Notamacropus eugenii: one gene and its partners. The protein of the gene in region 1 binds, or shares a complex with, the protein of each later gene. Links are inferred from orthologs where the notes say so. Each region holds a gene or a part of one and is shown in the gene's direction. Other genes may lie near its edges.

Region 1 (7,323 bases):
GTAGTTGTCAATATTAACGAGATCTGACATTCTTTTTCTATGCCTCTGATATCTTCCCCTCCTTCAGATACCTTGTATGTCCCTTCAGAACTGGATGCCCTCCATGATATATCTTCTCTAGATGTACTTGGTCCAGTCTGGCTGTTTTCCCCCATCTTTATTCTCAGTGCCCTTTTTAGCTCCTCTATAAGCAGCTGTCATAGAAGATGGAGATCAGGGCCTGAAGTTAAGGAGACTTGAGTTCAAATCTGGCCTTAGCCACTGGCTAGCTGTGCCTCTGGGCAAGTCATTTAACTTCTGCCTGCTTCAGTTTCCTCCTCTGTAGAATGTTGACAATAACAGCACATATCACAGGGTAGTTGGAGGATCAAATGAGATGTTTGTAAAGTGCTTAGTTCTGTGCCTGGCACACAGTAGTTCCTTGATATCTATTGCCTTCCCTTCCCCAACTGTGATGTTCCATGGAGAAAACAATTTGATAAAATGGTTTTTAAAAATCTTGTCTGTTTTTCTTTCCATTTTCGTTCTTCCATTTTCATTCCTGAATGCCCTTGAGATGACTTTGCTTAGTAGTAGGATATCTTGCCATGGTTTTTAAAACTTGGCTTTACCTTTCACTGCTTCTCTTTGTATTATAAGAGAATTGTGCTCAAAATCATCCATCAATCTTCTTAAGATTTTATAGACAAGTTTATATGACCTTGGGTTTTGGAAGTCAACACCAGTGCAGTACAATGTCTGGCAGATTTTATCATGCTGGAAAGACTTCAACTATGGCCCTGGCCATAACCTGTTTTATGAGGACTAAATCAGTTATTTATGGAGAGGTACATTACTAGCAGGCTTGCCATGTGGTGATAATTTTTTTTTTTGGCCATGGCAACTCACGAATGAATATTATCATTTAATATGTCAAACAGTTTTTTCTTCTTTTCGGAGTGCTTTATGAACAAGGTGAATTATTAACGTTAATGTTATTTTTAATCTTTTCTATTTACTAAAATGACAAATAACTGGGTAATAAATGAAACTTTTAAATAATATGCTATAGACTATTTTAGAAACAATGAAATTTTAGACGAACTCCTATTGAGTTACATAATGGAATTTTTCTTGATTTGTCTATTTAGAGATTGTCTCATAAACTGAGAAGCTCTGATATATGAATAGCCAAATTAATAAATAAGGTTGATTAGGTGAACAGTTTTCTTACAAAAGAATTCAATATTTATATGATAAATTATGAACAATTTTTCAGGAACACACCTATTGTAATAGCTAACAATTATATAGTACTTTAAGGTTTGCAAAGTGTTTTGTATATGTTATTTTGATCCCCACAACAACCCTGGGATGTAGGTGCTATTATTATCTCTATTTTACAGAAGAGGAAACAATCTAAAAAGAGATTAAACAACTTGTCCAGGGACCCACAGTTAATAAATGTCCTTGGGCTATATTCAAATCCAAGTTTACCTTTGCAATTCTGCAATTCCAGAACTCTATTTGTGATACTGAGCTGCTTCCCTATTAAATACTATGCACATCGGAACTGTTGGCAGGCATATTCTGCCTCTTGCTGTTCAGTCCTGTCCAAGTCTGACTCTTCATGATCCCATTTGGGGTTTTCTTGGCAAAGATTCTGGTTTACCATTTCTTTCTCCCGTTCATCAGACAGATGGGGAAACTGAAGAAAACAGGGTTAAGGGACTTGACCGAGGTTGGATTTGAACTACGATCTTCCTGACTCTAGGCCCAGAGCTCTTATCTATTGGGCCACCTAGCTGCCCCTTTCTACCTGTAGGCACATTCTATATTTTATTATATACTGAAAATATTTAAATAAAAAAAGGCACTAGAGTAGGGTACTTGCTCTAATTACATGCTCCATGTCCTTCCTTTTCCATTCATAAATCTCCTGAATAATATCTTCAATGGTCTTCACTAAGAGCCCACGATGATACCTCCCCTCACTGTGGTGTGCAGGTGTCTATACTAGCTGAACATAATTGCTAGTGGGCTCTACCAAGCTGGAAATGTTTCTGCATCTGCACCCTTAATTGAATTTAGGACATCATCTGGATGTCTTGAAGGCATCCTATACTCAACATGTTTCCCACTATTAGCTGAAGAATACACATCTTTCCAGATGCATTTCTTCTTTACCCCTTCCTCCAACCAATTCAAGCCCAAGTCTTGTTGATTCTACTTTGTTACTGTCTTGTATTCCTCCACATCTCTACTCACACAGTCACTATCCTAGCTAGGGATGTCATTACCTCTAGCCCTGACCATTGCAATAGCTTCCTAATCGGTCTCCTCCTCAAGGCTCTCCCTTCTCCAATCCATACTCGCTTTGAAAGGGCTGAAATAATCTTCCCAAGGCATGAGTCACTTCCCCAAGCAAAAATCTTCTGTGGTTTTTTAACCTGTAACATAAAACACAAACTACTCAGGCTGGCATTAAGAAAACTTCATAATCTGTCTCTAACTTAACTTTATAGTCTGATTTCATATTATCTTGCTTCACATAGTCTACATTCCAGACAAACCAACCTATTAGCAGTTCCCTGAACTCAACCCTCAGGATCAGGTGCCTCTTCCTGAAGTAAGACTTTCCAACTCTCCCCCCCCCCCCCCTTAAGTACTCTTAGTACTCATCTCTGCAACCCATTACAATCCTCTCCCTATCCTCCCCTCCCCACCTGGGTGTAAGCTCTTTAAAGGCTGGAAATGATTCGGTTTTGTACTCTTGGGATATAGTAGAGTGTCTTGTATCCTACAGCTGTTCAGTGTTTGTTGAGCTGATTTGAATTAGATGGGTTTGATGATGGTTTTTGTTTCCTTGTAACAAGTTAAGTATACTCAAACAAAACAAACCAACACATTTCGCTACTCCCCTCTGAAAGTCCAGAATCTCTCTGCCAAGATGGGAGATAAAAGGGGATGCTTCATTATCAGTCTTCTGAAGTTATGATCTCCAGTCCTTTCTCCAACACACTGCTGTCTATCCATTTCTCCTCAATCCTGTCTTTCACAGCTGTATTAAAAAAAAAATTGAAATGTTACATGTAAAATTTAAAATTTAATCTTTGTAGATTCATCTTTCCATTCCAGAGGCAGCGAGGTGGTACAGTGGATAGACTGCTGGGCCTGGACTCAGGAGGTTCTGAACTCATAGCCTGTCTCACATACTAGCTGGATGACCCTGGACAAGTCATTTAACCTCTGTCTGCTTCATCTGTAAAATGGGGGTTATGATAGCACCCGCCTTACAGTAGGGTGATAGGGAGGATGAGCTGAGAAGGTACTTGTATCATGTTTTGTCAAACCTCAAAGTGTGAGCTGTTCTAGACTTCTGAGATCTTTCTACATCCTGTGGGCTATCAGTATGCCAGCCGATGATAAATTTCATAGTGGAAGGATCTGTCTTATCTAAATGTTATATTTCTTCCTGAACTGTGTTTTTCATATAGTACACAGGTAGGCCCCTAAGGCGTCTACTGAACGGATTTAAACTGAATCAAGATTTTCATCCGAGTCATTGATAAAATGGTGAACAAGGCAAGGTCAAGCACTGAGCCCTGTGGTCTTCACCTAAGGTTGGCACCTGTTAGACAGTGCTTCGGGCTCACATAGGAGCCCACCTAATTTTACTATCATCTGTAACATAGCTCCAACTTGTCCAGGAGAATACTAGCGGTTTTTTTTTGAACATCACAAAGCCTTTTTGACTTGCTAAAACAGATAATTTCGTTTAATTCAAGTCATTATACATTGATTCTATGTCCAGTATGTGCAAGGTGATAGGGCTACAAAGAGAAAACCAAAACAGTTTCATTTTAAAAGAGCTTCCTGGCTTATAGCATCGCCTTGGTCCAGTTTCATAACTGTCAGGGGAAAAAAAGGCATTAGGTTAGTTTAGCAGAATTTCTCCGTTGTCATATCCATTCATTCAGCACAGTGTAATTTTATACGCTATGTTTTATAAATCTGACAGCGGTGCTTTGCGAGGGAGCCTAGGGCTGAAACAGGAAATGAGCCAGCACTCGGGGTGGACTGCGCAGTCTAAGGCGCCCAGAAGCGGCCGCCGCAGGCACAGAGGCCGCGCCGTGCGGGCGGCAGCAGCCGGAGCTCGGCCGCACGGGGCCGCGGACGCGGAGCCTCGGAGACAGCGGGGCCTCGGCGGCAGCGGAGCCTCGGCGGCAGCACCGCCCTTAAGGTGCCAGCTGCGGCCGGGCCGCGCCTCCTTCCAGCCCCGCCCCGGGCTGACGCGGGCGCCGGGGCCGCGAGCCGAGGCCCGTCACGGGCGCTCTTCTTTTTCAGGAAGAGTGCTTTTCACTTTCCATACTGGCTTGTCTTACTTTCCCTCCCGCTCGTTCCCCAGGGAACAAAACGTTTGATTTTAACCCGCAAAAATCCCTTCTTAGGCGCCTTACCGGGTCGGACCTTTCCCCCCCGGGAGCCCCAGCCCGCCCGTGACGTCACATTGACGTCACCGTCCTTGCTCATGCACCTTTCGGATCCCAGTCCACTTCTGGGACGGTCGAACCCGGGTTCTGCCTCCTGGCAAGGACCCCCCCCCCCCCCCCCGCCTCCTTCCTCCCAGGGGGCGGGGCCCGGCCTCTCAGGTATCCAGCAGGTGCCCCAAACCCTAAGCCTGAGCAAGGCACGGGACTCCTTTGCCTCAGTTTCCTTCTCTGTAAAATAGGAAAATTAGCGCACACGCACACGCCCCTCCTCACACGGTTGTTAGGGGCATCAAACGAGATGAAAATGCGTAAACTTCTTTATAAATACTAGCTGTTATTATTAATGATACAAATTTTAATTCGATTGTGCGTGACGGGTCACTTCTACCCTCTGCCAGACTAGTGCCGAGGTCGGAGGCTGTGCCTTATTACTAGCCATGGCCCGACATACAGTGGGCGCTCAATTAGTGCTCTATTGGGGACAGGCACGTCCGCAGGGAAAAGGGCTGGGTGGAGGGACAGAGGGCCAGCCTCCCTGCCCCGCCCTGCGGCGCCTGACGTGGTAGTCGGGCTTGGGCCTGCCACTTTCCGTAGGGATTGCGGGTTTCAGGAAACGACCCTTCCCGCCCAGCCTGGGAATGGGGGTGGGGGCGGGGGAAGTGAAGAGGCGCAGCGGGCAGCCACGCAGTAGACAAATCCAGAGACTTCGAACCCCCTCCGCGCAGACCAGACACCGCGGCGGGGGCGGGGCCCGGCCCGGCTCGCACTCAAAGCGCCCGACTCTAGTAACGTCACCACGCACCCACGCGCTCCAGTCTTCACCTTCAGTCTCCTCATTCGGTCGCCGCGACTAGCCCTTTAAGAGAGGAGAAGCTGAAGGCTTCAGAACTTGATTGACATGCCTTGAAGCCTATCAGATTCTTGGCAGGCACCCAACCAGATTTAAATTCTCTACTCAGACACTGGACGCAATGAAGGAAGAGTGAAGAGGGCGGGGGAGGGGAGGAAGGAGAAATAGTTACTCGCGAGATATTAGCCTAACCCTCGCTTCGGAAAAAGTGCCCGAACTGATGGTCTCGCTTTCCAATTAGAAGTCAAGGGGAGGGGATTACGGACCAATGAAAAGGATGAAGAGGTGGGCTCGCTATTCTCCCCGCGCGAGATGAACCGTTACAGGACGGGCCTATTAGCCAATCAACCTCGCTAGGATTGGAGTCAGGTGATTCGATGGTGCGGCGAGGGGCGGAACCACCGACTGGCGCGAGGAACCGTTAATACGGACAACGGCAACAACCAATGGGATCCTCTTCCTAGGACGTCAAGACTCCAATAAGAGAGGTCGGGCGGGATCCTTCACTTCGCGCTGGGAGCTGGGGAGACAGACAGAGGGAACCCCCAATGACCTTGAGGAAGAGAGGCGCTCGCTGACCAATGAGGGCGGTGGGGCGGGGTCCATTGCCGCGGCGGTGTGCAAGATGGCGGCGCGGGGTTCCGCTGTGTGAAACCAGCGCGGGCAGGCGAGCTCCCCTGTTCCGAGGCGGCCCCGCACAGTCCTCCGCGATGAAGGGTAAAGAGCGCTCTCCCGCGAAGGCCAAGCGCTCCCGCGGCGGCGGGGAGGAGTCGAGCACCCGCGGGGAGCGGAGCAAGAAGCTCGGCGGCTCCGGCGGCAGCAACGGCAGCAGCAGCGGTAAGGCGGACAGCGGCGGCCGCCGCAGCCTGCACCTAGACAAGGGCAGCAGCCGGGGCGGCAGCCGCGAGTACGACGCGCCGGGCGGCGGCTCCAGCAGCCGCCTGCACAGCTACAGCTCCCCGAGCACCAAGAATTCGTCGGGCGGGGGCGAGTCGCGCAGCAGCTCCCGCGGGGGCGGGGAGGCCCGCTCGGCCGGGGCCGCCCCCAGCTCCGCGGACGGCGGCGGGGGCGGCGAGTACAAGACGCTCAAGATCAGCGAGCTGGGCTCCCAGCTCAGCGACGAGGCGGTGGAGGACGGGCTGTTCCACGAGTTCAAGCGCTTCGGCGACGTGAGCGTCAAGATCAGCCGCCTGCCCGGGGGCTCGGGCGACGAACGCGTGGCCTTCGTGAACTTCCGCAGGCCGGAGGACGCGCGGGCGGCCAAGCACGCCCGGGGCCGCCTGGTGCTCTACGATCGGCCACTCAAGATCGAGGCCGTGTACGTGAGCCGGCGCCGCAGCCGCTCCCCTCTGGACAAAGAGGCCTACGCGCCCGCCGCGGTGGTGGGCGCTGCCGTGGGCGGGCACCGGCATCCCCCGGGCGGGGGGCAGCGGGCGCTGTCCCCGGGGGGCGCAGCGCTGGGCTACCGGGACTACCGCCTGCAGCAGCTGGCCCTGGGCCGCCTGCCCCCGCCGCCCCCGCCCCCGCTGCCCCGGGAGCTGGAGCGGGAGCGCGACTACCCCTTCTACGAGCGTGTGCGCCCAGCCTACAGCCTGGAGCCCCGAGTGGGTGCCGGCGCCGCCCCCTTCCGCGAAGTGGACGAGTTATCTCCTGAGGATGGCCAACGTGCCAACCGCACTCTCTTCCTGGGTAACCTGGACATCACGGTGACTGAGAGCGACCTGCGCAGGGCCTTCGACCGCTTTGGGGTCATCACCGAGGTGGACATCAAGCGGCCTACGCGGGGCCAGGCAAGCACCTATGGCTTCCTCAAGTTCGAGAACCTGGACATGTCGCACCGCGCCAAGCTGGCCATGTCCGGCAAGGTCATCATCCGCAACCCCATCAAGATCGGCTATGGCAAGGCCACGCCCACAACACGCCTCTGGGTGGGCGGCCTGGGCCCCTGGGTGCCGCTGGCTGCCCTGGCCCGCGAGTTTGACCGCTTTGGCACCATCCGCA
Region 2 (7,471 bases), about 35 Mb from region 1:
TTATGTCCTCATCTAGTATCTATTATGGGAAAATCTCATGTCTAGGTTCTCACAGAGGGTTTCCAGATCCTGTAGAAGCACTCCACAGGAGTCCATAAACAGTGTGGGAAAAGATTCTACAGTTATTACAATCAAAACTATTCTCTTCCTTCTCCATTGGGTCCTATTTGTACAAGTTTCCAAAGTTTTTTCAAATTTTCAAAACCATCCTGTCATTACCATCCACCTAGGGTGGCTAGACAGGCAAAATTCTTCCCAGCAAAATCACACCATCCAAGTGGCTCAGTCAGCGTAGTACCTTCCATCCACACTACTTAAAACTTGTATGTACATAGCTGTTTACATTATAGAATGTGAGCTCCTTGAGGGCAGGGACAGTTCTTGCCTTTCTTTGTATCTCTAGAGCTTAGCACAGTGCCTGGAATATAGTAAGTGCATAATAAATATGTGGTGACACAGTACCATGTTCAAGTCCCCTGTTCCTCCACATTGTAATTCTAGTCCCCTATACTGTTCCTCCCAGGACTGGGGCCACAGATGCTGGAATCTTTCTCTGAAGCATGCACTTAGGAAATTTCCTTTTTCTCAATAGAAGGCTAGATTCCCAAATTCTTGAACTTGGGTTATCTTTAGGGCAACCCCTGAAACTGGCACTGTCCAAGAAATCCCTCAACTGCTAGATTGCTACTTGGGACACATTCCTCAGGGACTCTTACCATTTAGCTAAATGACTGCCCTCAGCATGGCTGCCCTGCCTTTGCCTCTTTGAGGGTGGAGCCAGCAACTGAATACTGCCAAGGAACTTTTGACCCACAAGGGCAAGCACCTTCATTATGTGTCTCCAGCAACTCTTAAGACTGCATGGTACAAGAAAAAGAGCACTGAACTTGAAATTACAGGACCTGAGTTTGAATCCTGAACACCAGCTGTGTGACCTTGGCAAGTAGTTAAACCACCCTGGGCTTAATTTCCTCATCTACAAAATGAAGTTGGTTTGACTCCATAATCTCCAAAAAGTCCCTTTTATTTATAGAGCTATGACTCTGATGATACACTACTAAAACTCCAGCTGCTACTCAGTTTCTTGGCATATGTAAGCTTTTTTACATATCTGGGGCTGAGGTGAAATGGGCCCCTGGTGTCCAAGATTTTTCTTCTCAAGCCACATGGGCATGAGCACATGCATTTCATAATGTGCCTGATACCTCTTCTCCAAAGCATCCACTAACATCTTAAGCACTAGTCCTGCTACACTCTTAGGGTTTCTCCAGAAGAAAGGGAGACAAAGGGAAAGACAAAGGGAAAACTCCCTTTCAAAGGCTGGTTATTCTGAACAACCTGCTCCATCACAGTGGGGCTCACCTCATTTCCTGTCAACACAAAGCCCTTTCCCCTAGACCCACAGAACAGGAGTTCAAGTCAACAAATACATATAGAAACAGTCCTTGTCAATAAGACCTGCCCTTCAGGAGGTGCCAAAGAATGCCTCTTTGTTACCCTCTGTGGGAAGATATGATTTGTTTGACAGGCTAACCTCCCTATAATCTCACCAAGGTGATAAGAGAACTCAAAATCAAACCTTTACAAAGTACACATAAAAATTCTAACTAGATCAATAGAAAACATCTTAAAGGGTGTTTTAAAAACACATTAAAGTATTTAAGGGCAGCTAGGTGAAGTGGATAGAGCATCAGGCCTGAAATCAATAAGACTCCTTCCTGAGTTCAAATCTGGCTCACTTCCTAGCTGTGTGACCCTGGACAGGTCACTTAACCCTGTTTGCCTCAGTTTCCTCATCTGTAAAATGAGCTGGAAAAGGAACTGGCAAACTACTCCAGTATCTTTGCCAAGAAAATTCCAAAACAGGATCATGAAGAATCTTGCATGACTGAAAAGTGATTGGAGAACACATATTTATTCAGCATTTCCTGTGCTGAGCACTGAGCTAGGCCTTAGGACTTTTGTTATTCTGTTGTTTTAGTTGTATTGTTTTGGTTTCTGGCAAAGTTGGCCCTCTATCTACTGTACCACCTAGCTGCACTTACACATATTGTGGTTCATTCTTCCTTTTTTTGAAGGAGACTAATGACATGACAGTGAGGACTTGACTAACATGTGAATTTGGATTTCAGTGAGGGAAAGTTGCACTAAGTCGTCACTTTCTCTTCCAGAGTCATCAAAGTCCAGTGACAAAATCAAAGTCAGGATGACTGGCCTAGATGCAGTGGATGACCTTGGCATCCTCTGACCAAGCTCCAAACACTACACAGCACCTTCACAGCCTTCTGATTATAGTGTTCTCATCAGCTCATTTCACCAACAGTCTTCACATGCTTAGGGTAGACCTCCCCCTAACTCACTAACGCTCTCAGTTAACTCTCAACCTGCTTCAGCCTGTCTGGCAAGACCTTTTTTTTTTTTTTAAACCGGGGTATGGCAGCTGTACTTGCTACATCTTCTTGGAGCCACAGGTGAGAGTTGGGTGACAAGTGGACACCAAAGGTGGATGAGCAGCCTGAAAAGAACTCTGCTAGCCCTCACGCCAGGGGTGCCCGTACTTCCTGAACACAGCATATACTCCCGGCAGAGTACCCTTGGGGATACAAACACAATAAAACCAACTCTGCTCAAAAGGGATTTGCGTTCTAATGAGAAGACAACAAATATATATGGAATAAATATAAGGAGGATACAAATAAGTACAAGATCGTTTGAGAAGGCACTAGCAGTTGGGGGATCAGGAAGTGCTTCATGTGTTTGAACTGCATCTGGCAGAAAGGAATTCCGTAAAGCGGAGCTGGGAAGGGTGTGCATTCCATTCGTGAGGGAGAACCAGGACAAAAGCAGAGACGCTGAGGAAGAGAGAGGGCCACTTTAGTTCGATCACTGAGCACAAGGTGGGTGAGGAAGGCTGGAAAGATAGGTTGGAAGCCAGGCTACAAAAGGCTACGTAATATTGAAGGCCCCTTCACAGCTTTAAAACTCCATGATTCCATGCGCTCGACATTGCTAAAGATAGTACCCTAAAGACTTTCCCAGGATTGTTAGAAAAGCAATTTCATTTTCGTATTAACTAAGTTGAGGAAAATCGTATATGAACGCTAAAGAAATGTTTTTCCCTAGGATCACTACTTTTCAGCCACGTCTAACTCATCTTATCATTCCTTTGTGCTATCAAGAGGAACTTCGTCCGTCTCCTTCGACAAAGCACGTCTTACCTTTAATTGTATCCTAATGAATACTTAAAGACTAGCTTCTTTAAGGTCAGCTGAGTTTTCGGGCGGACACCTACTACGGCAATGATTTGACCAGCCCATAGTACAGAAAACTCTAACGTGCAGTCTTATTTAAAGCTCTTTTACGGTTCTATCGTGGAAAGAAAAAGGCACAACAACAAAAAACAATTGCGATTTCGCTGAGTCCAACTTGGTTGGCTCCTTCGTAATGAACTTTATTCCAGTGAATGTGGAATGAGAATACAATCACGCCCCAAAGCCCGGGGCTCCGCACCAGCCGTCAAGCGCAGCCCCTCGTTGGCGTTTCTTTCCCGGCGGTAGGAGCTGCAGCCAAGCCCGCACAAGAACAAAGGCCGGTCCGCCTTCCCCCGGGAGGCGCGGTCTTCAGGCTGCCGGGCAGCCCGAGGAGCAGCTCCTCACAACGTCACGGGCCACGACACCGGCCACACCAAGGACCAGCCAGCAGAACGCCGGCGCGCGAGCAAACCCCGCCGGCTTCCGAGAAGGCAGCCAACCCCCGAGGATCCCTCCGCCGGCGGGCGCCCTCCAGCACCAGCAGCAGCAGGGGACCCCGGGAACGTTCCTTCCGCCCGCGGGAGTAGGCGAAACCCACCCCGCCCCCCATCGCCTTTCCCAGGATGCTCCGCGGCTGAACTCCAACCTTCTCCCCTCCCTCCCACTCCGCCCGCCTCCCTCCGTGACCCCATCCCCACACGTCTGCCACCCCCCCTCCCCACCCGTCACTAGGTCGGCTGGCCGGCCTCTCCAGGCGCCTCAGCTTGGGCTCTGCGGGGCGGGGGGGGGCGGGAGCAAAGCCGCCTCCACCGCCGCCGCCCGAGCTAGCCCCTGCTGAGGCTGCTGCTGCCGCTCGCCGTCTCCTTCCCCTGCCCCCAGGCCGGGAGCGGCGTGGCGGGGGCGGGGGGCCCACCCGCGGGTACCCGCCGCGGACTCCGGCTGGACGCAAAGGCGACCTATCGGAAGCCTCGTCCTCCAGGTGAGTGAGCCAGGCCCCGACCAGACGAGACGGGAGGAGGGAAGGGGCGGGCTCGGCTCGGAGCTGGGGCGGGGCTGCGTGGGCTGGGGGCGGAGCCGTCCGACGGGAGGAGCGGGAAGACGGGGAAGGGAAGGGGGTGGGGGGGGTGACGGAGCCTCATTTCCTCTTCCAGCGCCATTTTGTAGCAGCGAGACCCGCAAATAAAGGGGAGAGTCATTCTCTGCGGCGGGAGGAGGAGGAGGAGCCGTCGCTGGGGCCGAGGGCACCCAGGCGGCTTGGGGTGGTGGGGTCGCCCGAGCCCGGCCGCCCGCCGCTCCGACCGTCTGTCTGTACGTGAGGGGGTCGGCGCCCGGGCCGGTCTATGTGACAAGCCGGCGGCGGCAGGGGCTGCCTCGGCGTGAAGAGGTAAGTGCGGGACGCGGGGCCGCCGCCGGAACAGACCTCGCCCGCCTCGGGCCCCGAAGTGACCCCGTCCCTCCCGACGCCCCCCTCGCCCTACCCCGGCCTCGCCCGGTCCGCAGGCCGCTCCCCGCGGCGGTGGAGGAGCCGGGGCCTGCGGGGCCGCCGACTCCGTTAACTGCTTCGCCTCCTTTGATGCGGGGACGCGGATGCTCCCGCCCTAGGCCATTTTACCCTGCTCGGTGTCTGCGGTGGGAAGCGGGAGAAGGGACAGCGAGCCGGGGTGCGGGCGCGGGGCCCGGAGCTCCCGCCACGTTCGGCCGAATTCTGGGTCGACTGGGCTTAAAAAGGAACTACGCCAAAAAAAGCAAAGGTTTGGGTTTGTTTATTTCCTTAGGAATCCTAAATTTAAATTTATCCTAACAAAAAAATGAGTTTTTGGGGAGCGATAATGGACTCCTCCCCCGCCCGCCCCAGTTTTCGCAAACCTAGAGCTAGAATGAGCTTTAATCCGCGGGAACAGGAAACAAAGTAGCTTTAAAGAAGTGTTGGCGTGTTTACATCCAGAAACTTGTTCGGAATCCCACGCCTCCTCCTCTGCCCGCTCGTTTTTTAGGTGAGGCCCGTTTGGTATAAATAGTTTGGGGGGAGAAAAAAGTGGGTGTAACAGGGTCTTGAATTTTTTGACACTCTTTAGTACTTGGTCTTATAAAAATCTGTTAAACTTTGGGGTAGTATTAGTTGCAAGGGGTTAATATGGGTTTTCTCCCCGAATAGCAAATATTTTAAATAATGCATTGTAGTTCGGAGTTGTTGGGAGTCCTGGGTATTACATCTTGCTCTTAAACTGAATAAAAGAAGTGTTTAAATTATCTAGCTACTATAGGGGATAAATGAAAATCATATGAACCCCACCCCCTTTAATCTCTTTTCCTCCTGTCATAAACTTCCAGCCACTCAGTTTTTTTTCTTAGTGACAAATTAAGCATTTTCTGAGTCCTGAAGTTTTTATTGGCAACATATGAAGTTTTTAGAAAAAAATGTTCTTTTGATTGTGTTTTCTGTTACTATGCCTTTAAGTGACTGCTCTAGGAAACAGTGTTTGAATTTGGTTTTAAAAGACTTCAGTTTTAGCCTGGGCTTGGCTACTTGTCATTGAGCAAGCCACTTAATTTCTCTGGGGCTTTAGTTTCTTGAAAGAATATCAAGCTAGTTCTCTAATTTTTCTTTTAGCTCTTGAGAGAATGGTTTACTCTGGTCCCATTTCAAGTAGTGAGAGAGATCTGTTCTTTCATTTTTTTCAACATATTTATTGAATGTTATATGTAATACTTTGAGGAGAGGGTGATGAAACTAGTGTCATGTACTTTTTGCAGAGTATTTTCGTCAGTTTAGTTTTACATTCAACCCATTGATCCCTATGCAGAGCAGATAACTATCCCCATTTTCTCCAGATGAAGAAACTGAAGCTTATAAGATGTTTTGGCTACTTACTGATTTTTACTGAGGGTTACATAACTGTGATAATAGTGGAACCAGAACTATAATCTGTGTTTTCTGACTCCCAAGTTAAGTATTTTTGCCACTATTCCAGAATACCTTCAATGTAGAGTCTAGTTCACAGTTGAAGTTGCTAAGTTTTTTTTATAATTGGAAGAGATGGGAAAGGTTAATCAAACTTTATTTGGAAAACTGAGGCCCATATTAAAAAAGTGAATTAGTAACTTCAATTCAGAACCCAGGCCTTCGGATGTTGCTGTAACATCAAGGTTAAAATTTAAAAATTTGTGAGAGCATATTACTTATTTTAGAGTAAGTGTACATTTATGGAATACTTTCATATTTCCATGTTTTATTGGTATGAAGGAGGTAACTGAATGAGCATTGTTCCCTCAATTTACTGATAGGGAAACTGGGGAAGTCAGGACAAATTTTTTTAAAGCACCTACGCTTGAGCACTTTGCACTTCGCAAATATTATCTAATTTTCACAACAACCTTGTGAAGCAGATGCTATTATTATCCCGATTTTAAAGTTGAAAAAACTGAGATAGACAGGTCACATCTGGTGTCTGAGCTTTGAATTCAGGTCTGCTCAACTCCAGTGCTGTGGCCACTGTGCCGCCTAGTCTCAGCTAGTTATCATAGATTCACAGTGGTATAGGTGAGCTGTAGCTCTTGGATTGAAATTCTTAGGATTGTCACTTCAGTCTCTAATATTTGAGCCATGCCTGCTCACAGCATCTTTAAATGCAACCATTTGTTAACACACTTATGTTGGGAAAATGTGTTACCACACATTTGCCTTAGGATTAAAAGATCATCCTAGTTCAGGCCTATATCACTTTTCCACTAGATATTGCTGGTAGCCTCTTAGTAAGACTTCCTGCAAACAGGCACTTCCCTTTCCAATCCATGTTTCACACAGCTACCAAAATAGTCTTCCTAAAGCAAAGACTTGAGCATGTCATTACCCTGCTTAAGAATCCCTTTTGCCTAATATTCATTCTTCATAGCTTGGCATTTAAAACCCTTCAAAGTCTGGCTCTAGCTTACCTTTCCAGATTCACATGATTCCCTTTCATGGGCTCTGTGTTCCAGCCAAACTGGCCTTCACTGTTCCCTGAATTTAGCATTCCATTTCCTGCCTCCCGGTCTTTGCACAAACTGTCCCATGTTCCTGGAATGTGTTCCCTCCTTACTTCTCTGAGAATCCTTAACTTCTTTCTAGGTGAAACTCAAGTGTTACCTGTTAACAGAAAACTTTTCCGGATAACCCCCTAATTGTTTTTATTCTCTCCTTCCTCAAATTATATTGTATTTGTGGACGTGTATCCTTCCAT
Region 3 (7,694 bases), on another chromosome or scaffold:
GTAACATACAGTCTCCTGGGAGAAAACAGCACATACAAAACAGGCATCTCTAAGATCATTTGAAGTGAAGGACAGCCCTAAACAGCCAGGCAGGACAACAAAGACTTCCTCTAGGAGGTGGTACCTTTGAAGGAAGCTAAGGAGTCAAACAGGCAAGGGGAGGAAAGGTATGCATTCCAGGCACAGGGCAAGACATACTGTTTGAAGAAGAAACAGCTAGCACTCCAGATTAGCTGGAACATTGACTGCTAGAGAAAAAACAAACCAAAAAACCCCAACCAAATCCCAAAATAACAACCAAATACTTATAAAGAACATTTGTGAGTCTTTCACACAAAATCCAGATAACTAAATCAAGAAATTACTGTTTTCTACCTCTACATCCCAGAAGAAACTGCTTTAGTTTTGTGAACACGTTCATTTGCAAGATATCATCATAAACTTCTCCAAACAATATTTTATATTGCTACGTTTTATGTAGTACTGTTGACTGAAGTTTTGTGAGAAAAGGGGATAGAACAAGGGAAAAAGAACATAAAGGACAAAAGGAACTTCCCACAGAACTAAACTTATTGAAATAAGGAAAAGATGTCCATTTTGAAATCACTTGTCTTTTTGAAGACTGAGGCTTTGATACGGTGAGAGTCCTTTATATACTATTTATGTATTTCTACAATGTCTCCCTTTTGACAGGTCCCTCTACAATCAATAAGTATTTCTTAATCATCTACTATATACCAGTCACATGCTTGAGGTAGACAACCCCCTAACTCATCAATGGGTTTGAAAATCCTTGGTTATCCTCAACCTAGTTTGGCCGTTCTGCCAAAATGGTTTACCAGGGTGTGGCCGCTGCGCATACTGCAGCTTCTTGGAGCCACAGGTGAGAGCTGGGTGGAACAGGTGAACACCAAAGGTAGAAAGAGTCCCCAAAAGTGCTCAGCAGCCATCACACCAAGGGTACTAGTCCTCCCTGAACATACCCTACATGTGAAGACTTCCAACGGCCATGAAGGCAGCTGAAGCAGGTGATGTGGAGCCCTTAGAGCTTGGTTAGATACTGAAGACACCAAGGTCATCCATGGCATCCTAAGTCATTGCCAGCCATCTTGACTCTGTCCTGCCACTGAACTATGATGACTGAGGGATAGAGTGAGGCTGACAACTTTGTGCAACTCTGCCTCACTTAAATCCAATTTTCGCATGAATGAAAATACAGTATTGGTCTGATCAGCCACAGTCAGACACACTGAAACTTCATTTTTATCATGGTGATGTCATTTTTGTCCTCTTTGAAAACGAAGGACAACAGCCAACCAACCAACTATATACCAGTCACTGTAATAAGTTCTGGGGATACAAAGAAGGCAAAAGATAATCTCTGCTCTCAGGGAGTTGGCAGTAGAATGCAGGAGATGGCATAGTATGTACAAACAAGCTCTATATTGAATAAATTGGATATAATCAACAGAAGGAAGGCTCTTAAGGGAGATCAGAAAAGGATCCTTGTAGAAAGTAGGATTTTGGCTCTGACTTGAAGCAGATGCCTTAAGACAAAGACATAAGCAATCCCTCTGAGTACACTAAGTGGTTGGTTGGAGACAAGGAAGGAGAGCATTGTAGGTACAGGGGAAAGCCAGTGAAAATACTCAGTGCTCTTTCAAAAAACAAGCAGATAGGCCAGTGGGAGTGGCTAACAAAGTATGTGGAAGTGAGGAAAGGGTAAGAATACTAGAAAGATAAGGGAAGACAGGTGAACAGCTCTGAATGACAAACAGGATTTTATATTTGATCCTGGGTGACAGGAAGCTACTGGAATTTACTGAACAGAAGATGACGTCAAACTTTCCCTTCCCTATTTCATCACTGTTATCTCAATGTGCACTGCATTTTTATATACTCTGAGATCCATTCTCAGAAATGCTTATTAAATATCTTCATCATTTGGTCTCCTATTCTCAAACTTGCAAAGCATATGATGAAGCCTCTTATGCTACTCCTACAAAAAAAACATAAAAATGTGAACTAGATAACAGTGCAGGTAGATTTGGAGTTGACTGAATGGCTAGACCTAAAAGCTAGATTTGATGTGCCTACAGAATAGCAGGTGATTAATATATTTTTTTTTTATCAATGCCTTCTCTGGGATCCAGGATCTACTTGGTTCTGTGAAGTTTAACATAGAACCAAAGATTTAGAATTGGAAGGGAACTTAGAAGTAATCCAGTTCAACACCTTCATTGTACAGTTGGGAATACCGAGATTCTCTCCCTCCCTCCTCCCTAAAGAGTTTAAATAACTTGATCAGGAACACAGATGTTAAGTGGCAATTTAATTCTAGGGACTCTTTCCACTATACCACAATGATAAAGATTTGGTACTATCACTAAATTTACACATGACACAAAACTAGCCGGCAATACTTAGCATCCTGGATTGTCATGATTTAAAAATATCTTGACAGGCTAGAACACTGAACCAAGTCTAAAAAGTTTTCATGGGCATTCAATCCATTCAATTCCAATCCACATTTATTAAACACTTAATTCATGCCAGGGACTTTACAAAGAGCCCGATACAATAATTAAAAAAAAAAATCCCTGCTCTCAAGGAGTTCACAATCCAACTCGGCAATTGGGGGGGTTAGGGGAAGAGAGACCAAGGGGGTTCCCCAGTTCAGGGCCACCTTGGTCCCTGGAGTTGAAACCAGGCACAGCAGCAGATGAAGAGTGGAGTGTGCAAAAGTCCAGTAATAACTATAAAGTGGTACTCTTCCTTGGGTTCAGTGGAAAAAGCACCAGTTTTGGAGTCAGAGGAGAGATCAAATTCTACCTATGTGAACTTTCCACAAATCACATAATCCCACATAATCACATAAATGAGTTTCCTCATTTGTAAAATGAAGAGGCTCAGAGATCATCTTTAGCAGGGGCAGGGAACCTGCATTGGGAAACCAAACTGTTCTTGGATTCAGTCAAAGGGCTGTACTTGAGGACCTTGAGGGCCTCTGTGGCCTCGCCGCTGTAGGTTCTCCACCCCTAATCTTTAGGGTTCTTTTTAATTGATTGATCCCACAACACATTCCTATTATCTTTAGGAAAGGCAGAAACCGACCATTAAAATGTTTAGGTATATGTCCATTTTAAGTTTAAGGAAAAAAAATACCTGGAAGAAGTTGAATTTGAGCCGTTATCATTGTGCATATACTCTTCCAGGTTTGCACTTTGATTACTGATTTTTCACAATTAACAAATTTGTGCAGTAAAATAGATCATAAAATGCAGGGATTATAACCAGCTACAATAAATAATGCTACACACAAATATCTGAGTATTGTTTGTTTATACGTGCCTCCCTCCAACTAAGCTTCTGATTACATATCCATAAAGAAACTTAGAAAAAATAAGGTCTGTGAGGCTGGGACCTAGTTCACTGCTTTAAGACTGCTAAAGAGCTCTTTTGACTGAGATTGGTAATCCCCACACAATCCAGAGAAGCCAAGAATTCTGGCTATTGCTATTACTGTAACTTAACTGCACAGTAAGTAAAACACATCATCCTTCCTAGGGGAGGTAGGATCTTGGACGGAACTTAAAGCAAGCCAGGAAGGTCAGAAGGCATGGGCATGGGAGGGGGAGGGGAGGACAGCCAGAGACAACAATGCCCAGAGTCAAGAGATAGAGGGAATCGTTAGAAGAGTCAAAATAGGTGCAAAACGATTATTTTGCGGGATGCTTACGGGATGTCTGCAGATTGTAAAGCACTTGAGAACCATCAGGTTAAAGCACAGGGATAGGGACGTGGGTATTGGGGGAGGGGGCGAGGCTGAAGCCAACTCCTTCTGGGACCTCAGAAGGCGTCCCAGCACCTTCCCCAGAAACGAACAACTGGATAAACTTCTTTTTAAAACTTTCATATAGTTAAACGACGGGGGGCGGGCACGGGGTCTTCAGCGCATGCCTCGGGAGCCCCACAAACCAAGTCAAAAACACAACACGGAACAAAAGCGCACCGGTCCTAGCTCCCCGCCTCGATCTCCGCACGCAGCCTCTGGGACCCTCGGAGCTGGCGGCCGTCCAACCACGCCTTTCCCCAGACTCCGCTCGAGCTTTCCGCCGCCTGCAGGGACGAACGCGGAGACCTCAGCAACCCCAACGGTTGAGCCTGCGCACCGAGAACAACCAGTCGCTGGAGGGAAGTGCGGGTGGGAGAGAAGGCTGGAGGCCCGAGGGAGGGTGTTGTCCAGGGCAAACTACAAGTCCCAGGAGGCTAGGCTGCGCGAGGTCGGAGGAGCCGCGGGGCCTGTCGGAAGTTGAAGTACTTCGACCAGGAAATACCGCCCCCGCCCATCCCCCATCCGCTCTCTCCCGCCAAAGGGAGAAGCGGTTTGATCTGTGAAGATGGCTCTTCCTTCTTGTACCTAGGGAATCGCTCCGGCGGCCCCTTCTGCCATGAAGCTGTCTCCTTGCGCTCCCATTTTCCTTATCTTTTTTTCCCTCGTCCCATTCCAAACTGCTCCGAACTTTCTTCGTCCCTGAACCCCGGCAAAAGCCACCTTCATCTCATTTCCGCTGACTGAGCTCGGTCGGGTCGTCGCGCACGCGCCCGTGGTGACTGGGGCGACGCTGACTTCCGCTCCCAGAGTGCACCTCGAGCCGAATCATGGACCACACTGGTAAGGAGGTGGAGGGGGGGGGTCTCGTTTACATGGACCCCTCGGCCGGCCCGAGACCCGCCGTCGCCCGGCTGGCGTAGCGGAACCGGGCTCGTCCTGAGGGGATGGGTTGCAGTGGCGAGGGAGGATCTCTACATACTCCTCTTCCCTCCCTTCCTCCCTCCCGGCCGTGCCCAGCTGGGGCCTGATAGACCTCTCGGCCTACACCCCTTCTTTACATCCCCTCCCCCGCTCCGCGCTGCAGCCTCGGCGCCGTGTCGGTCCAGAGTGGGACCCCGGGGCTGCGTGGGGGGCGCTGGGTTCCCCCCGAGGCCTCCTTCCTTTCCGTCTTCGGCGTTTGGCGGCTTGTGCCGGCCGGGGCTATTTCCCGGCCAGTGTAGGGCTTTGGGGAAGGGAGGGGACCTTGGGGAGCCCAACCCTGGCTTTGTGGGAGTAGAGCCACGGGGCTAGACGTCCCCGTGGCTTCCTCCTCCCTCGCAGCCGCCCAGAGCTTCGTTGTCGTCGGTGCCCGTGCGTGTGGTAGCTAGGCTGAAGGAGCCGGATATGATCTCGAGCTCCCCTTCAGCGCAGTCTTTGTGTAAAGTCCCGACCAGACCCTTCTGTCTTCCCCGAACCTCGGCTTTTGGGCTGTGTGCGGTTGGGAGCTTCCTCATTTTGGACTCTGCGCTAACCAACAACCCCTTCCTCTCTCCAGCCGCGGCCCCTTGGTGAGCCAGGCTTTTTGTTTTCTGGGGCGCTTTGTGAGCAGTGCTAGTAGGGTGTCTGTAGTCCGTGAAGTAAAATACCGTGCACTTACTACGAAGTCGTGTCCGTTTCTCTGGGACCCCCTGGACCCAGCGCGTCCGGACTGCCCGTGGGGTTTTCCGGGCACAGATTCGGGAGTGGTTTGCCGCTTCAGGTGAAATGACTCCCCAGGGTGTGTCCGAGGCCGGATTTGAACTCGGGTCTTCCTTACTCCTGGCCCATCTGTCTACCCACTGAGCCACCTGTCTGCTTCGACTGCTAAAGTACTGATAAAGCTGAAGTCTTGGACTTCGTAACAGAGAAGTGCCCCCCACCCCCACCCCCCAGAGAGTAGCAGAATTTTTGCATTCGACGTTGGAAGTGAGATATTTATTTGGAGGCTTGTGTGTGTTTTAGGTGAACCTAGTATTTTTAAATGGACCCTGAGAAAAGTGAAAGAACAGTCACGGATTGTTTTCTTATCGCAAGTTCTGCGCTCCGTGTAGGGCTATTTCAAAGGAAACTTGGTGCTTGTAGTGCAGTAGAATGTGAGCTCCTTGAGGGCAGGGACCCCGTTCTTAATTTTGTTGTTAGTTTGTTGGTTTCTCCAAATGTGCCTGGTAGGTAGGAAGCATGGAAGAAATGCTTGTTGACTTACTGACTTACAGTGAGAAGTGTACCCTATTTGTATATTGTAAAACCCTAGTTTTAGAAAACATGGGTACATATATCGTCTAGTAAATGTTGTATTTATGAGAACGACTTAAGACACAGAAGGGCAGTTGAGTAAAGAACAGGCTTTACCAGCTGCAGCTGTAACCCCAGTTGTGTAGTGTACAAAGACCTGCTAGTAGAGGCTTTTCAGCTTCATACAAAACTAAAACTATGGGCAGTATTCAGTTCAGGTAGGGAGAGGTAACAGTAATGCATACTATTATTAGAAAAACATAATTTTGACTTTCTAGCAAAGTTAGAGGTGAGGTTTTATGCCAGGAAAGAACCAAACTGAAAAGTCACTGGCCAACAATTCTCTTTACCTGGCTGCTCTTTTGGAAGTTTTTAAATGCCTTCGCTAGGAAAAGTAACAAAAATGAAAAGTGAAAGTGAAATAAGTTGATTTGGTTGAACTTTTAATGAAAGGTGTTCGGTGAAATGGGAGGAAACTTTGGGCCATTAGCGATCTTTTGATGTGTTTGATGCTATTTTTCTCTCTTACCCTTGTTATTCTTGTCACCCTTGTTATTCTTGTCCCCATCTTATATTAAAATCATGGCTTGTTACAAAATAGTTGTTATAAAATAATGCTAAGAAACTGGTAATGAAAAATATTTTGGATTATTTTGTTGCCATTTTACCTCTTGGAATTCTTACCATAAACATTTCCTGATCTTCCCAATTGTTGATACTTCCCTTCTCCTACCCAAAATCACTTTGTATTTACTTATCTATGTATGTTATAAATGCTGTATAATAAAAAGCATTTTAATAAATACCTGTGGATTGGTTATTGATTAATGTTGTACCCCTTGTTCCCTTTCCATAAAGGCAGGGAGTTTTCATTTATGTTTTTGTTTTTGTGTTCATAGTTCCTAGCGTATAGCAGGCATTTAGTAAATGCTTCTTGAAGTGCATTGTTTAAGGTTCAGTTTTGAATCTCCCCCCAACAAACAATCATAGATTCCTGTTGATCAAAAGAATGAATTGTAGGATTGAACATGAGTCTTTAATGATGAGAAACCTAGAAATAGGTCTCGAAGTTCAAGTCCAACTTAATACCTTCAAGCAGGCTTTACCTAAATACATTCTGAACAATTCTAGTTAGATGTCCTAAAAATTTTCAGACAGCACAGTAACTTACTGAAGTGCTTAACAAAAGTAACTGAAAAAAATCATTTTAATTAACTGAAATTTGGCTTAGTTAGTAAAAAGTAACATCTTTTCCTGTAATTGGGAAGTCATGCCTCAGCCTTAAACAGTTTTTTCTGGGGAATAATATTTGTGTTAGGCATTTAGAAATGCATAATCTCTCTTTGCAATCCATGTGTTTTGGAAGTGAGGCATTTTGTTCTTTTTACAGTACTGAGCTTTACAGGTAACTGGGTAAATATGTGATTTACGGGGCTTGGAAAGCATGTTTTGGTCTAAGACTTAGTTGACTTCATAGCAACATTATACTTCTCTTAATGTTTTTTGGGTGAAAAAAAGTACTTCTTAACAGCAGCTCTGAGCTAGGTTTAGGTATAGGTCTAGGAATGCCTTATATATAATTCATTATTTCTTCTTTCACCTTTTTGTA
Region 4 (8,200 bases), on another chromosome or scaffold:
ACAAATTCTAGAGCAGCAGAAGCCACAAAACAACAGAGTGAAAGAGATTTCCAGACAAGACAGCCTAGAAGGCCAACAGCAAAGGTCTATTACACCAGGCTTGGAGAGGAGCATAGTGAGGCCTTGGCCACGCCATGCAGCAGGGACAGGACTGGAGCAGGCTGGGGCATGGAATACCAGGCAGCAACTGTGGTTGCTAGATCCCCACAAATGCCAAAGACAGCTTCAAAGGTCAGTGAGAAAGCTCTTTCACCTGGGTGAGAAGAGAGCAGGGTCCTGCCCTAGCCTCGGCCCCAGGTGGTGGCAGCAGCAGCAACATCCATTTTTGGAGCCCTTGGCCTAAAGAACCTGGGGGAATCCACTGATCTGGATCTCAGCCCTGAGTGGCAGTCCTGGGGTGAGGATGAGCACTGGCTGGTAGAGCTGGTGGAGGCTCTGGACAGAGAATTCTACTCACACATCCTGGGCAGAAAAGCTTGGGGTTGCTCCCAGACCAGAGCACAGGCCAGGAGAGAAGTAAACTCCTCTCCTTTAATTGTGCCACCTTGGAGGAACTGAGAATTTACAGGTCCCTAGAGTATACCCTCCACTTGACAAGCACTCAGAAGTCAAGTAACTGACTGGGAAAATGCCCAGAAAAGGGAAAAAAAAATAAGATTATAGAAGGTTACTTTCTTGGTGAACAGGTATTTTCTTCCATCCTTTTGGATGAGGAAGAACAATGCATACTATCAGAGGAAGACATAAGAGTTAAGGTTTCTGCATCCAAAACCTCCAAAATAAATATGCAATGGATAGAATTGCGTGGTGATTCTATCAGGCCATGGAAGAGTTCAAAAAGGATTTTGGAAATCAAGTAAGAGAGGCAGAGGAAAAATTGGGAAGAGAAATGAGAAAAATGCAAGAAAATCATGAAAAGTGAGTCAACAGTTTGCTTAAGGAGACCCAGGAAAATGCTGAAGAAAATAACACCTTTAAAAATAGACTAACTCAGATGGCAAAAGAGGTTCAAAAAGCCAATGAGGAGAAGAATGTTTTAAAAAGCAGAATTAGCCAAATGGAAAAGGAGGTTCAAAAGCTCACTGAAGAAGATAGTTCTTTAAAAATCAGAATGGAGCAAATGGAAGCTAAAGACTTTATGAGAAGCTAAGAAATTATAAAACAAAATCAAAGAAAATGAAAAAATAGAAGACAATGTGAAATATCTCATTGGAAAAACTACTGACTGAAAAATAGATCCAGGAGAGACAATTTAAAAATTATGGGACTACCTGAAAGCCATGATCAAAAAAAGAGCCTAGACATCATCTTTCATGAAATTATCAGGGAAAACTGCCCTGATATTCTAGAACCAGAGGGTAAGATAAATGTTGAAAGAATCCACGAGTCATCTTCTAAAAGAAATCCAAAAAGGAAAACTCCTAGGAATATTGTAGCCAAATTCCAGAGTTTCCAGGTCAAGGAGAAAATATTGCAAGCAACCAGAAAGAAACAGTTTGAGTGCTGTGGAAATACAATCAGGATAACACAAGATCTAGTAGCTTCTACCTTCAGGGACTGAAGGGTTTGGAATGTGATATTCCAGAAGTCAAAGGAACTAGGATTAAAACCAAGAATCACCTACCCAGCAAAACTGAGTATAATGCTTCAGGGGAAAAAATAGTCATTCAATGAAATAGAGGATTTTCAAGCATGTTTGATGAAAAGACCAGAGCTGAATAGAAAATCTGACTTTCAAACACAAGAATGAAGAGAAACATGAAAAGGTAAACAGGAAAGAGAAATCATAAGGGACTTACCAAAGTTGAACTGTTTACATTCCTAAAAGGAAAGATAATATTTGTAACTCTTAAAACTTTCTTCAGTATTTAGGTAGTTGTAGGGATTGTACACACACACACACACACACACACACACACATATAGACAGAGGGCACAGGGTGAGTTGAATGGGAAGGGGTGATATCTAAAAAAATAAAATTAAGGGGTGAGAGAGGAATATATTGAGAGGAAAAAGGAAGAAATGGAATGAGGTAAATTATCTCTCATAAAAAAGGTAAGAAAAAGCTTTTTTTATAGAGGGGAAAAGTGGGGAGATGAGAGGCAAAAAGTGAAACTTACTCTCATCACATTTGGCTTAAGGAGGGAACAACATACACATTCAATTTGGTATGAAAAATCTATCTTACGCTACAGGAAAGTAGGGGAGAACGGGATAAGTGGGATGGGAGGGATGATAGAAGGGAGGGCAAATGGGAGGAGGAAATAATTAGAAGTAAGCACTTTAGGGGAGGGACAAGGTCAAAAGAGAGAACAGAATAAGTGGGGGACAGGATAAGCCAGAGGGAAATAGTTAGTCTTTCACAACATGACTATTATGGAAGTTCAGGACTATACATGTATGGCCTATCTTGACCTGCTTGCCTTCTCAGTGGGGATAGGAGGGAGGAAGGGAGAGAAGTTGGAACTCAAAGTTTTAGGAACAAATGTTGAGAATTGTTTTTGCATGCAACTGGAAAGTAAGAAATACAGATAATGGGATACAGAAATCTATCTTGCCCTACAAGAAAAGAGAGAAGATGGGGATAAGGCAAGGGAGGAGTGTGATAGAAGGGAGCGCAGGTTGGGGAAAGGGGTAATCAGAATTCATGGTGTTTTGGAGTGGAGTGAGAGGAGAGATAGGGAGAAAATTTGGAACTCAAAATCTTGTGGAAATGAATGTTGAAAACTAAAAATAAATAAATAAATTTTTTAAAAAAGGGAAGCTGCCAGACTTCAATCTCAGCTAGAGCTTCTGGCTTAGTTTCTATCATCTACCACTCTCCACCTTGATTTACTGACACCCTAAAATAGTCCCTTCTCCACATTCTCTTGCTGCCCTCAGTCCCTGCTCAGGTACCCTCTTTCTTTGTTTTTCCTTTGTACACTAACTGAAATTTGGGTCCTCTCCCAACCCCTTCCACATTTAATACTGTTGCCAGAATAGTCTTTCTTACCCTAACATGGTGCTTGGCTATCCTAATTGGAAACTAGCTCTCCCAGAGCATTATTTCCAGACTGCGTTAGCTCCTGGAGACCTTGGAAATCAAACCCTTATCAGAGGTATTTGATGCAAACATTTTTCTAGTGTCCTATTTTCTCAGTTGAACAGATTTGGTCAATGCAAAGGTTTTTCAACCTAATATAATGAAAATGATCTTTGTACGTGTGATTTCTGGTTAAGAATTCTCTTGCTTGCTGTAGCTGTGAAAGCTTCCTAATCTTGTTCTTTTTTCATTTTTTTTTTATGGTATGACCTTGAATCTTCAGGTCATGTAGCCATGTTGAGTTTATTATGCTATACAGTGTACCCGAGTTAGACCATTTTGGGGGAGGTTAAATTGCTTTTCGGTTTTCCTAGTATTTCTTGCCAAAAACGAAATCCTCCCCACAAGTAACTCATGCCTTTGGTTGTATCAAACACTAGGCTATTGACTTCAGTTGTGTCTGATTCTTCCTTATGGAGCCTGTTCCACGGGTTGACTTCTCTATTTCTTCATTAGCATCAAATTGCTTTGATGGTCATTGCTCTGGTAGAATATGAAATCTTAAATTCTCCATTCCTACTTTTTTCTTTGTCAGTATCCCCTTGACCTTTCAAGCCTATTGTCCTTCTAAATAAATACGATTTTATTTACCTCTATGAAGTGTTCGCTGATCAGTCTGTTATAGCCCCCAACCTCTAGACTGATTAGAACGGTATAGTCATGTTTATTATATTGGCCCCGTCCAACCATGGGTAATACACGCCCATCCAATCACTCTTCTCTTTAAAGAGTGCTGTAATTAATACACATCTGGAGTGTGCCTTGATTCTCGGGCTTCCTCTTGCCGTTGTTACTGCTGTGTAGACGCGCTGTGCAGATTCCAAGAAGGGAGAGGAGCGTCCATGCCCTGAATGGGGGACAAGGGGGGAAGATGGGGCACGGAGCAAGCCTCCGAAATGCCACCTGGAGTCTGCGTGTCTGGGGAATTAAGAGCCGCTCGGAGCTAGGCACAGGACGGTGCCCCCACAAGAAGACATCCAGAAGGAAGAGCACGTGCGAGGAGAGGCGGAGGCAGAGTCCGAGCTGCCGGGTGCGAGGCGAGACCTTGCAGGCAGTGTAGACACACGGGTCTTTCCTTCACTTAAATTCGGTTAAGTCGGCATCCACTGAACCAGCATTACGGACAAGGACAAGTGACCTCCGCTCCTCAAGGCTGTTCCTCCTCTGTAAAATGAGGCTGGGTCCCGCGGCCCTGCGCACTCTAAGTCCGCGGTCTTCGATGGTCAGCAGACTGGCCGCCCACAGTCCTGCCCAGGCTGCCTCCGGACCGCCCAGGCATTCTTCAGGTTCCCTCTGAGACGATCTCTGACCTCAAGGTCTGCCCAAACTGCACACGCGGCGTCTGCCCCGCGTGTAGCACCGAGCCGGCAGCGGGCGTTTCTCATTTTGGGGCGCTGTCGTGTTCCCCGCTTAGCACGGCGCCTGGGGTGCAAGGGGCACCGTGGGGGAGGGGGGCCGGCCCGACGCAGTGATAACCGGGGGGACCCGGAAAGGGGCTCCGAGGCTCCGGGCTGGGCGTCCGTCAGGGGCGGGTGCTCCCGGCAGACACAGAAAGCGGATCCGGAGGGGAAACTGAGGCCCGGAGGGATGGACGGACCCGCTCCGGGTCAGGCGGCCGGCGAGTGCCCGCACCGGGCCTCAGCGGAGAGGACGGGGCTGCAGGTAAAGGCCTGGCAGCTCGGACGGCACGCGGGACCCTGGAATGACCGGCGCTGAGCCCCAGGACCGAGGGCACGGGTCCGAGCCTGCGGCGGGCCCAGGCAGCGCAGCCCCGCGGGGCGCGCCCCCGAGCGAAGCGGGCACGCGGAGAGGGAGGGGCGGGGGAGATCCGCGCTCCGGCCACGCCTCCTGACCAGTGACGTCACGCCACCGCGCACGCCCCAGCGCCGGCGAGGTCGTGGGGAGGAGGCGGGACTTCCTGGACCGGAAGCGACGAGCCGGGGAGCGTGGAGTCGAGCGGGTCGTTGGGGCCGGTCCTCGGAGGGGACGCGGGCCGGGAAAGGCTCAGCCTCGGGGAACCGCCTGTCGCCGAGGGAGGCCCTCGCCCTCCTGCCCTGTGAGAATAGCGGCGGCCGGGACATGGACAGCCGCCTCCAGGAGATCCGGGAGCGGCAGAAGCTGCGCCGGCAACTCCTAGCCCAGCAGGTGAGCTCCGGGGCGGGGGCTCGGGGCTGTGCTGCCCGTACACGCGGCCGCCCCGCGCATGCTCGCTCTGCGCATGCCCGTCCCGCCCATGTCCGCCTCCTGTCTCGCCGCGCATGCCCGTCCCTCAGGCCCCCCTCCTCTCCCCGGCGCGCATGCTCGCTCTGCGCATGCCCGCCCCGCTCAGGCCCGCCCCCTGTCCTCGGCCGCTCTGCGCATGCCCGCTCCCTCTCTCGCCGCGCGCGCCCGCCCCGCTCAGGCCCGCCCCCTGTCCTAGGCTCCTCTGCGCATGCCCGCTCCCTCTCTCGCCGCGCGCGCCCGCCCCGCTCTCCCGGGCCCCGCCCCTCGGTCCCCTCCTGTTCCTGTTGGCCGCCCTGCTCCGGTGGCCGAGGTCCGGCGTTGTCCCCTCGGGCCCTGCTGGCCGCCCCTGCCTCCAGGAAGCCCTGGTGATCTAGCCTCAGTTTACGCCCCTGTCAGTGAGGGGCGAGTTAGCCCTGGTGGAAGTGCGGGCCTCGGGTCGCAGAGACAGCGGCCTGCTGGGAAGGGCGGGCCCCGCCTCGGGCTGGGAAGTGGGGGTGCCGGCGCCGAGCCCCCCGCGCGCCAGGGAGGGCGGGGGCGGGGAGGAGGCTCGCCCAGGCCCTGCCGGCCCGCCGGGGTCCGGGGCGGGTTCGAGCTCGGGTCTCCCGTCCCCCGGCCGGCGGCACCCCGCCGGGCTCAGCACGGAGCCTCGGCCACCCGAAGGAGCCGGGTCTCGGGCCCCTCCCCCCAGCGCGGACTCTGTTAGGGCCATTTGTTGAGCTTTTCGTTTTTAGGGTTCTTTGCAGGCCCCGGATTCCCTGCCCCCCAGGGCCCCCCGCTGTGCTCGCCCCTCCGCTCCCTCCCGGGACCCCGGACGGAAAGCCTGGCCCCAGGTGGGGCCACGGGTGGGAGCCCTTCCTCCTGCCGTGGGCTCTCCCCCGGTCTCGGGGGCGGTGGAGATCCTGCCCTGCCCGCTGGCCCTGGCATGTGCCCCTGAAGAAGCCCCCCGGGCGGCCGTGCCCCCGCTCTCTTCCCCCGCCCCTCCCCTCCCCGCTGGGCCTTGGGCACCGCCTCCTGGCTGCCCCGCTCCTGCCCTGGCTTGGCCCTGCCATCCGGGCCCTCAGGACTCTGCCCTGGCCCTGCGGGTGCTCTCCTCTGACTGTCCTCAGCTCTCACGGCCTCTGCACGTTCTGGTGCCTCTTGGCCCCCCGCTGTGCTCACCCGGGCTTCAGCTTCCCCCCTTGGGGGGTGTCGTCTGCCTCCTCGAGAGCCGAGGCCGGCCTTTGCTTTTGGTCAGTGTCCCCAGCACTCAGCACCCTCCTGAATGTGCCCTGGTTCAGAGTCCAGCCTGGCACGTAGTGTGCTGACTTAGTGTCCGCTCCCCCTCTGAGGGGGCTGTCACCCCTGAGCAGTCGGGCTACCCCCGCCCAAGGCTGGGTGCCCGCTCCTGGCCCAGCCCGCTGTCTACCCTGGCTTGCGGACAGCTCTTCTCCCCTCATGGCTCCAGGCTTGGCTGCCTCTTGCCAGGCGTGAGGCAAGAGCCAGCTTCCTCTCATCTGCCAGTGGGCTTTTTCTAGAGTGGTCAGACCTGGTCACTGCTCAGCGAGCTCCGAGCTTTAGATTCTTTGTGCCCCTGTCCCTTCCTGCCTTCCCAGTCTGACTGCACCTTACTGCCCTCCTGCACCTCTGCCATCCCTGGGCGTTGGCCTCGAGCACACCCTCTGGCGGCTTCTGCTCCGCATCTTTGGGCCAGCGTCCCCCAGGCTGCTGGGCTCTGCCTCCTGGTCTCTGCTGCCTTCTTTCCCAGCTTCGCTCCAGGCCGAGTACCTTCTGCAGGAAGCTTTTCCTGATGCCCTCAGCTGCTAACGGCTTCCCCAGTGACATTTACCCATCATCTCCGTTGGAGCACACCCAGGGCTGGTTTTTGCCTTTCTTTGTCTTCCCAGCCCTTCGCACAGTGCCAGGCACATAGCAGACCCTATTGAATGGACCGATAGCAGATGCTGACTTATCTGATCATTCTCTGGCACTGGTTAAAGAGAAGTTTAATTAGTCACTATCCATGATCCTGGTGACCACTGACCAGAGTCCTCAGCTGCGTGCTGTTAGAACGTATAGTGATGAGGGATGGGAGACCCAGGGCTCCTTTCTCTTCTCCTCAGCCTGTATGACCTTGGCCAGGTCCCTCCCCTTCTCTGGGCTCCAGTGTTCTCATCTCTTAAATGAGTGAGTTGAGTTTGATGATGTCTGCACATCTGCCCAGCTTTGAAATCTGCTGCTGGGATCTGCAGCTCGGCCTCAGAAGCCCATCAGCTGGTAGGCCAGGTTTGTAATCAGCTCATGGATGACGTCTACACTGCAGCACCCTTGTACCTTGCTTTCACTCCTCTGAACTAACCACATTTACATGGGACACCTTTTCACTAGGATTGACTGCATAAAGCTGTTTGCCATCGAACATGCCATTCTTTACAGAAAGAGCCTTGGAATCCCGTTGATCGTCCTTCATTAGGTGCTGAATCTGCCCTGGTTCAGAGTCCAGCCTGACATTCTGTTGGGTCTCGGTCCCTGGCTTCAATAGGTCTCTGGCACAGGACCATGTTTACTCTAGAAAATGACTGACTGGGGGATGCCCAAGGAGAGGAAACTGGGGGCTTAGGGCTGGAGGGACCTCAGGGGCATCTGGTTCAGCCTCTGCCTTCCCCAGAAAAGAGGCAGCAGACCTGAGATGGGGTAGCTTGTCCAAGATCAGACAGCAGAGCCAAGCTTTGAGCCTGGCTTCCTGACTCCAGATTCAGTCTTCCCTGCTACATGGGCTGCTGCATTTTCTGGATGGAATAGTCTCAGATCTCTTGACCTAAGACTTATTACCATTCTGTATGTGTGTAGGTAGTTGAATAATAACAACCATACAAATGAAATTAAGAATTTATATTTAACATCATTGCAAGTGCA

The links.
Region 2: RBM15 (region 1) and WTAP share a complex: the UniProt entries of both Homo sapiens proteins name them as parts of the WMM complex. The link is inferred for Notamacropus eugenii from reciprocal best matches to the Homo sapiens genes RBM15 and WTAP.
Region 3: RBM15 (region 1) and CBLL1 share a complex: the UniProt entries of both Homo sapiens proteins name them as parts of the WMM complex. The link is inferred for Notamacropus eugenii from reciprocal best matches to the Homo sapiens genes RBM15 and CBLL1.
Region 4: RBM15 (region 1) and METTL14 share a complex: the UniProt entries of both Homo sapiens proteins name them as parts of the WMM complex. The link is inferred for Notamacropus eugenii from reciprocal best matches to the Homo sapiens genes RBM15 and METTL14.

What each region holds. Positions count from the first base shown.
Region 1 is NC_092873.1:288,849,650-288,856,972, forward strand, and holds the start of RBM15 (RNA-binding protein 15), read left to right. Parts: upstream 1-4,314; 5' UTR 4,315-5,903; coding exon 5,904-7,323. UniProt on the Homo sapiens protein: RNA-binding protein that acts as a key regulator of N6-methyladenosine (m6A) methylation of RNAs, thereby regulating different processes, such as hematopoietic cell homeostasis, alternative splicing of mRNAs and X chromosome inactivation mediated by Xist RNA.
Region 2 is NC_092873.1:253,463,258-253,470,728, forward strand, and holds the start of WTAP (pre-mRNA-splicing regulator WTAP), read left to right. Parts: upstream 1-4,100; 5' UTR 4,101-4,230; intron 4,231-4,402; exon of another isoform or gene 4,403-4,635; intron 4,636-5,026; exon of another isoform or gene 5,027-5,245; intron 5,246-7,471. UniProt on the Homo sapiens protein: Associated component of the WMM complex, a complex that mediates N6-methyladenosine (m6A) methylation of RNAs, a modification that plays a role in the efficiency of mRNA splicing and RNA processing.
Region 3 is NC_092874.1:147,685,422-147,693,115, reverse strand, and holds the start of CBLL1 (E3 ubiquitin-protein ligase Hakai), read left to right. Parts: upstream 1-4,586; 5' UTR 4,587-4,662; coding exon 4,663-4,675; intron 4,676-7,694. UniProt on the Homo sapiens protein: E3 ubiquitin-protein ligase that mediates ubiquitination of several tyrosine-phosphorylated Src substrates, including CDH1, CTTN and DOK1. Targets CDH1 for endocytosis and degradation.
Region 4 is NC_092878.1:165,435,793-165,443,992, reverse strand, and holds the start of METTL14 (N(6)-adenosine-methyltransferase non-catalytic subunit METTL14), read left to right. Parts: upstream 1-4,980; 5' UTR 4,981-5,164; coding exon 5,165-5,230; intron 5,231-5,603; exon of another isoform or gene 5,604-7,570; intron 7,571-8,200. UniProt on the Homo sapiens protein: The METTL3-METTL14 heterodimer forms a N6-methyltransferase complex that methylates adenosine residues at the N(6) position of some mRNAs and regulates the circadian clock, differentiation of embryonic stem cells and cortical neurogenesis.